2 linked regions of the Nothobranchius furzeri genome follow. The main gene of each other region encodes a partner of the protein of the gene in region 2 in a complex. Links are inferred from orthologs where the notes say so. Each region holds a gene or a part of one and is shown on either strand. Other genes may lie near its edges.

The links.
Region 1: the proteins of cop1 (region 2) and trib1 are in contact, whole or in part, in a crystal structure (PDB 5IGQ), measured with the Homo sapiens proteins. The link is inferred for Nothobranchius furzeri from reciprocal best matches to the Homo sapiens genes COP1 and TRIB1. Residues at the interface, in NP_071902.2 of Homo sapiens: Ile423, Ser425, Val441, Lys472, Tyr491, Trp517, Asp534, Ala556, Asn557, Cys559, Ala576, Asp577, His578, Lys600, Ala601, Ser603, Thr618, Lys643, Asn644, Phe645, Phe699; in NP_079471.1 of Homo sapiens: Asp355, Gln356, Ile357, Val358, Pro359, Glu360, Tyr361.

What each region holds. Positions count from the first base shown.
Region 1 is NC_091759.1:11,611-15,555, forward strand, and holds the start of trib1 (tribbles homolog 1), read right to left. Parts: upstream 2,806-3,945; 5' UTR 2,224-2,805; coding exon 1,912-2,223; intron 571-1,911; coding exon 278-570; intron 1-277. UniProt on the Homo sapiens protein: Adapter protein involved in protein degradation by interacting with COP1 ubiquitin ligase. The COP1-binding motif is masked by autoinhibitory interactions with the protein kinase domain.
Region 2 is NC_091751.1:60,897,749-60,901,760, forward strand, and holds the start of cop1 (E3 ubiquitin-protein ligase COP1), read left to right. Parts: upstream 1-1,208; 5' UTR 1,209-1,441; coding exon 1,442-1,764; intron 1,765-1,839; coding exon 1,840-1,899; intron 1,900-2,582; coding exon 2,583-2,680; intron 2,681-3,580; coding exon 3,581-3,645; intron 3,646-3,766; coding exon 3,767-3,886; intron 3,887-4,012. UniProt on the Homo sapiens protein: E3 ubiquitin-protein ligase that mediates ubiquitination and subsequent proteasomal degradation of target proteins.

The DNA.
Region 1 (3,945 bases), on a different chromosome or scaffold from region 2:
AACTAGCTCAGAAAAGAAAGAAAAGTTGAAATCAAATCTTAGTGTTTTTTCGTCCATGGAACATCTTTCAGGATGTAGTGACATCTAGTGGTAAATTTGCAGATTGCAGCCAACTTTGTCCCAAAGGTCGAACTTCTTTCGACGTGAAATTCAAGCTGAATTTTTGTGTGTGATCATTTAAAAACCTAAAAGTCATCTTCTGTGCTTTCTGCTGGTTGAATCAACATAAAAGCACAACGGTTCTCGCCTCCATAAAGAAAACATCAGATCGGCTCACCTTTTCTCATCTGCAAAGACAAACTTGCGCAGTTTGAGGTCACCCAGCACGATTCCCTTCTGGTGGCAGTGCGCCACAGCCTGAGCCACCTGGCGGAAGAGCCTGCAGGCGTGTCCCTCATCCAGCCGGCGACAGCTCTTCACCAAGGTGTGCATGTCCCCAAAGTCTTTGTCCAGGAAGATGTAGGCCTTGCGTTCACCAAGGATGATGTCCCGGATGCCAGCCACGTTTCTGTGAGCTGGTAGAAGCCCGTAGGCTCTGATCTTCTCCAGGTAGGCTGCCATGTCAAAGACCTAGCGGAGAGATCAGAGAGGAGGAAGGGGAGGTGTAGGGATGCAGAGTGGAAACATGAAGGAAGGAGGCAATAAGAGTCAGTCTTCCTATCATAGGAGGTAACAAGTGGGCAAATATAAATATATATTACATGTATGATTTTCAACGGCTGCTTTTTGCAAAAGTGTTTTGTTAAATGATTGAATTCATAATCAAAAAGGCCTCCAGGGATTTTGTTTTCATGCAAACCTAAACAGAATCTGGAGTATGGGGCACCAATTAGAAAATGTGACTGTTGGAATTCTGGCTTGTGAAAAGGAATTAACCTAAAAAAAAGTGGGTTTAGGAGTGATATGTGAAACAAAGTTTATAGGATTTACAGAAAGCAACAATTGTTTAAACAAAATTCTGCAGGTGTATATGAATTTGAGCACTGTTGTTGTATTTGATTCTAAATATTTAGATTTTTACATGAATATAAATATTTTGATTAGATTGTTGCTAATTAGATGGAACTTTATGTACTAAATGTAATTGTATTCTAAATGTTTGATTTGATTACTTATTTAGATTGGATTATAAATGTTTTGGTTAGAAACTTCAATGTTTAGAAGTAACTTTTCATATTCATTTTTGATTCTAAATATTTTGAATTCATTGCTTAAATTTTAGATTTTTATAATAAATATTTAGATTTTTGTCTTAAATATTTAGACATAACTTATATTTAGACAGGATTCTAAATATTCAGAATTGATTTCTTAATATTTAGATTTCATTGTAAATATTTAGAATTTAGCCTTAAAAATATAATGTTTCGATTTGATTGTAAATATTTTGCATTAATTGCTTAATATTTAGATTTTTATTCTAAATATTTAGATTTAGATATTCATATTTAATCGTGAATACTTATGACGGTCACCATTACTTGAAGCTAAATCAGGCTGGGATTTTTTTAATGCATTACGTCACCTGATGCCTCATACTGGTGCAGATATGAGTTTTTATCTGGATAGATTCTAATCTTGCATTATTATTATTCTGCTGAACATGTTGCATTTTACTGTCACGGCTTGGCAGTGACGTGTATGCAAATGAGCCGAGTTGAGAGACAGTGTGAATGCTGAGCATGGGAGACTGTTTCCACAACATGCAGAAAGGCGACGGCTGGTCTTGATTGCGTATTTAAAAGACTTCTGGTTATAAGGGGGGAAGCATTAAGAAACATTATTACGCAAAGGGAGCGTGAGGATGACATTTTGCTGAAAAGGTGAGCTAAATACGGATAGCGTGTCAGACGGACTGTTGAGCAACATCATTCATTCAAAGAAATTGCACAATGACCTGATTGCGCATACCTTGCACAGCAGCTCATCGCCAGTATCGGTGTTCATCGCACTGTGCATGCTCTCCCGGTCCGCGAGCGGCAGCAGGAGGAACGGACCTATCCTGGACGGTCCCTGGTGGTGGGGAGCCGGGTTGGCCGCGGGGTTGAGCGGGGACCCGGGTGACGTACCCAGGAGTCCCTGCGCGTCCCCCGCCTCAGCGCTCAGCCGGGCGCACTTGGCCGGCGGCTGGTCGTCCGAGTCCAGCCGCTTGTGCGCGACTCTCCGGGTGCAGGGTGCAGGACTGCTCCACGGCAAGTTCATCCTGAACGACCGGCTCGCCATGAAGATAAAATGATATAGATGTGAATAAAATCAAGCAAAAAGATGCGTCCCTTGGTGGTTAGAACCCACTCCGTCTCATAGCTGGCACAAATCAAACTTTACGCGTTGGCTGATAATCCAGACCGCGTCCTTCTTCTTCCTTTTGAGGTTTGGATCAGAAAAAAAATCCACAATCAAGGAGGGAAAAAAAAGAAAAGAGAGAGAGGGAGAGAAAGAGAAAGCGGGGGAGAGGAGGGGAGACCGCCTCACACTCAGAGAGAGGCTGAGAGTGAGAAGCTCCGGTGATGAGCTCTGAAACACTCCGCCCGACCAGTCCAGCCTCCTGATGACACAAGCGTTGAGCAATCCTGTAGCGGCACCGACTCCAGCTCACTGTGCGCGTGTCTGGTGACGCTAGATTTTACCTTTCAGAGAAATCAGGATGTTGAGAGTCTCAACATTCCTGCACTGAGCTCTGCGATTCCGCTGATACATAAACAAGAACGTGAACGCACCACCGGGAATGAGACCCGCCTCTCACACCTCATCACGTTTCAGACGATCATTAACAAACTCGGAATTTTCTGATCTTCAGCTCATGTTGCCATTTATCACCAGTTAGAGCAGCAAACAGGAGAACTTGTCTTCCTCTTGTGATTAGAATAAAAAGCTCCTGAAGAAGATGAATGTCATCTCACTTTCAACAGGGGTGCCCCTAAGTCAGGTCAGAGGGGGGCACCCCCCCCCCACTGCCCACCCCCAAATTGCCGTTAATTGATTAAAGATTGATTTTTAAATATTTTTTTGTGGAAAATTAAATTAAAAATGAGGAAATGAGCTTCGGTGAGGTGCAGCGTTCACAGTCGCTGGTCATTTCCTTAAGAACACTTGATGAACTGCTTGCTAACACAAATAGCTAAGCAGTCATCTTATCTTAATAATGTTTTAGATAAGTTCCAATCAGGCTTTCGTAAGATGCACTGTTCCACTGAAACAGCTCTGTTAAAGGTATCTAATGATGTACTGACTCTGGCCCATGTACTGTACTGGTTTTATTGGATTTGTCTTCAGCTTTTGACACGGTTGACCATAAAATTCTGTTACATCGACTACACAATGTCCTAGGAATTTCTGGTACGGTTCTGAAGTGGTTTTCTTCCTATTTAAATAACAGAACATTCTCTGTATGTGTAAACAAGATTAGGTCTGAAGTCACATTTTTGCTTCACGGTGTTCCCCAGGGCTCGGTCCTTGGCCCAGTTTTGTTCCTTTTATATATTTGCCCTCTTGGGGAGATTATTAAAAGCTTTACTAAAGTGTCCTACCATTTATATGCAGATGGCATTCAACTGTACTGCTCTTTCAAGGACACAGAGTTTAACAAGTTAGCTGATCTACTTGATTGCATTGAGCATATTAAGGACTAGCCAGTAACTGTCTTCAGTTGAACTCAAGCAAGACCGAAACACTGATCATTGCTCCTGAACAGAAAGTGCTTTTAATCAAACACCTCGGTTCCCTGAGCTCCTCAGTCCAGACCAGTCTCAGAAACCTTGGTGTTCTTCTTGACCAATCCATGTCTTTGAGCTGCCACTCAAAACGTTTAGTAAAAAACTGCTTTTTATCATTTGCGAAACATTTCCAAATTGAGAGCTTTTACTTCAAAATCGGACTTGGAGATGATTATCCATGCTTTTATTTCTTCTCGTTTATATTATTGTAATTCTATCTTTACTTGTTTTA
Region 2 (4,012 bases):
TTTTAGGGGGGGAAATGGATGCATGGATATTTTAATCTTGCTTCTGCCTGCATTATGAATATCAACCTTGTTCTATATTCATGGTTATATGATATTACTAATTTAGTTTTAGAAAATGAAAACGGAAAACCTAAAGACGTATCAATGGAACTCATGAACACACACACACACATGTCTGTCTTTCTATCATAGTGAGGACTTTCCATTGACTTCCATTCATTTTTGTGACTCCACTATGCCTAACCCATACCCATACCCTACCCATAACCAATGCTGAGCTATTGCTAACCCTATAACAACTTAATTCACACCATATCTCTAAAACCCGCTGGTAAGCTTTTTTAAAAAATGAGGACCAGAAAAATGTCCTCACTTATAGGGAAAATTGTGAAAATGGTGTTCAGTAATTCCCCTCAAGAAATCACATCACTCATGTTCTTAAAAACCTACACTGGTTGCCAATAGGATCATATGCAAGATCCTACTACTTACATTTAAATCTGCATGGCTCCACTTTATCTATGTAATTTACTAACTATTGCTACCACTTCCCGATCTCTTAGATCCTCATCTGCACTTCATCTGGTTCAACCTCGAGCTCGCCTTACCACCATGGGGAGCAGAGCTTTCAGTTGCTCTGCTCCACGGCTCTGGGACTCACTTCCCTCTGTCATTAGAAATACGGACCCTTTTCCATTATTCAAGGGGCACACCTGAAAACCCACTTATTCAAACAAGTTTATTCCCTTTAGACCTAGACTTTAGAATTGTTTCAAAATTGTATGTATCTTGTTTGTTTTTATTGCCCTATCTAACCTCTGTTGTTTTTTGTTTTTATCTTTGTAAGGTTACCTTGGGTTTGAGAAAGGCGCCCTCAAATAAAATGTATTATTATTATTATTATTATTATTATTATTATTATTATTATTCAGTATGTAGTAAGTACTAGAAAACACACACACACACACACACACACACACACACGTGCGCGCGCGCGCGCCGTTGGCGAAATGCATCCTCTAATTGCACAAACTCCTCTCCGCTAGAGAGCGGTAATTGAAAACACGGGGCAAAGTGGGGATCCTTCTCTGCAGTTAACAGGAGAAGAAGAAGAAGCTAACGGGAACTAGCAGGCTAATCTCCACAACGCTGTCGTGGTTTTGTGATTCCCTGTTTCAGTATTCGTGTTTTTTTTCCCTCACATATTTTTGTGTTTTATAACTTGGTAACCTAACTATACCCAAGTGACAAGCGCCCGACAAACACCGGTGGACACGGTTTACAGTAGCTCTGTATGAGCACTTCTGCTTTTCTCCCAGGATACTAGCGTATCACCAAGGCAGCTAAGTCGGCTAAAGGAGCCCAACAACAGCGCTGTCCGGATGCTTTGAACAGCAACGGAGCCGATTTTTGGTGGAGTTTTCAAAGCCGGTCTTGCGTGATGTCAAGCAACCGGCCGCAGTCAAACAGTGGCGGGGCAAGTTCGGTGCCTAGCACCAGCAGCAGTAGCGCAGGAGGCAGCGGGAGCACCACCGTAACAAGTAATGGTAACTCTTCTGGGAACGTTGTACCCTCCCGGGCTATAGCAGCCGGCGAGAGCGGCTTGTCTGTACCAACTCTGTCCGCCGTTTCGTCCCGGGGCGAGTTCTCTTCCCTCAGCAGACCATCTTCAACCTCGGGAAGCAGGAAGAGATCCCTCCATCCAACACCTTTATACAACGGCCTGTTGGATTCATACGAAGATAAAAGCAATGACTTTGTCTGGTGAGCTCTCTGTCAGCTAACCGAGACTGTGCTGTGAAAGCTGAGTTTCTGATTCATATTTGTCTTTTCTTTTAGCCCAATTTGCTTTGAAATGATAGAGGGGGCGCACATGACAAAGTGTGGCCACAGTTTCTGGTGAGTGTGGAGCTGCAGCTCGGGTTGAATTGAATGAAACACCTTAGAAACACTATTCACTCACAGATAGTGGCTGTTATTCATGTTGTTTACAGTTAGGAGTCCGTTTGAACGGCGAATCTACTAGTTTTTAGTTATTAAAACTAACATTTTACATTCGTTTTCGCAAAAACTGTTAGTAAGGTGATTCTAATGAAATGCCCATCAAATAGATGGAATAGGTCAGTTTAAAACTAAATGAATGCAATCCTTATTTAACAAGTAAAGATCCTTGAGATTTAAAATGCCGTCTGCCAGAGTTACCTGGCCCAGACAGGCAGCGGCAGGTGATTGAATGTTTAAAAAATGTTGAAAAACCAGTTTGAATTCTGTCAGTGAGACATATTCTTTCAGATTGAGTCAGTTTTGGAGCTAATTCCTATAATAAAGGGCAGAATGTTTGAGTAGCTTAAAGGGGAACAAGTCGTGTCCACACCTTTGGTTTGTTTGGGGGGATCTGAGTATAATCGGAGAAAACCAAGAGTATTTTTTGAAGTGAGAAAACAAATACAATTATCAGTTGTATTGGAAAGGTCAGATTTTTTGCGGCAGACACTAGAGGGTGAGTTTTTTTTCATTCCGTGATTTTTAGAACAGACTTGTGTTTATTTCTGTGTTAAATGCTCCCCTTTCCCCTGTTGCAGTTTCAAGTGTATTCACAGGAGCTTGGAGGTCAGCAACAAGTGTCCCAAGTGTAACTGTATTATTGACAATGTGGCTCAGCTGTACCCCAACTTTCTAGGTGGGTGTTTTAAGTTGGATGGTTGTTTTTACAGTCATCATTTTGAGAATTTAGCTAGTTTCGTTTTAAAATAGGGTTGGGCATCGACTGGAACCGGGACCAACTGTTAGCTTTTTTTGGAATCGTTCAAAGTTTTTATTTTGATTCCTAGTAAGCCGACCGGAAGATGACACCAACACTCGTGTGTGTGTGAGCGTCAGAAGGCTGAACAATAACCTGTAAAGTCATCGTGCTAGAGCAGCTTTCTCTGTGGTGGACCACACCAGCTTCTGCCACAATAAATAATAATAATAAATCACATACAAAGTTGTGAAATTTCCTTTCTGAACTATTTCTGTTGAGAGTTTTAATGTTTAAATCTGTTAGATTGTTACTGACAGCAGCTGCATTTAAGTTTCACTTTCTGTTGTGACTGAATGCTGCTGCAGCATGGAGGTGTAGTTCTCAGTCATCCTGGACATGATCATCCTGAGAGTTTTAGCTGAAAACAGTTGCACGTTTCTGGATATGTTGGAGACATTTAGCCTCTCATCCCAGAGGCTGCTTCCAGACTTTGGTTGTGGTCAGAAACAAACACACTGGTTGTGCTGCAAGTCTTTTTCTTTTTTTCTCCAAAACATGTTTTGGTCTAAATGAAGGTGATGCTGTTGTTCATAGAATTAAAATTCATGTTGAAGTTAAGATTGTTTCATCAAGTAGGACCTGTGGTTAGCTGGCTCATGTAAAGCATGTCATGTCTTGAAAGAATCGGAATCGGGAATCAATAGGAACCAGAATCGTTCAAAATCAAACGATGCCCAACTCTAAAAATGTGATCAAGTCGGTGTTATCCTGCTCAAAGAAGGAGCTTATGTTGTTTCTCCTTGTCGCCCTCACTCTGCCTCTGCTGCCGTTTCCCAGTAAATGAGCTGATTCTTAAACAGAAACAACGGTCAGAGGAGAAGAGACTGAAATTAGATCATCCGGTGAGTGGTTCACATTTTATTCCTGCTTTGTCTTTTCCTTCTTTGTGACTCTCAAACTTGCAGACTTGTTTGTTTTAGAAAAATCTGTTTCTTCCTGCTGATCATTGTTTTCGACCCCTAGAACGGGCCGCAGTGGCAGGTCTTTCAGGATATTTTGAATCCGGATCAGGAGAACCTGGACCTTGCAAATGTCAATCTGATGTTGGAACTTCTGGTTCAGAAGAAGAAGCAGCTGGAAGCGGTAAGTCATTTTGTGCGTGTCTGCGAAGATGATTGTAAGAGTCATTTGTAGCCCATTCCTCGTTACCCTTAGCTAAGCAAGGAAGTGTGTTCCGAGTATAGAATTGGCACATGTGGCTGCAGAAAT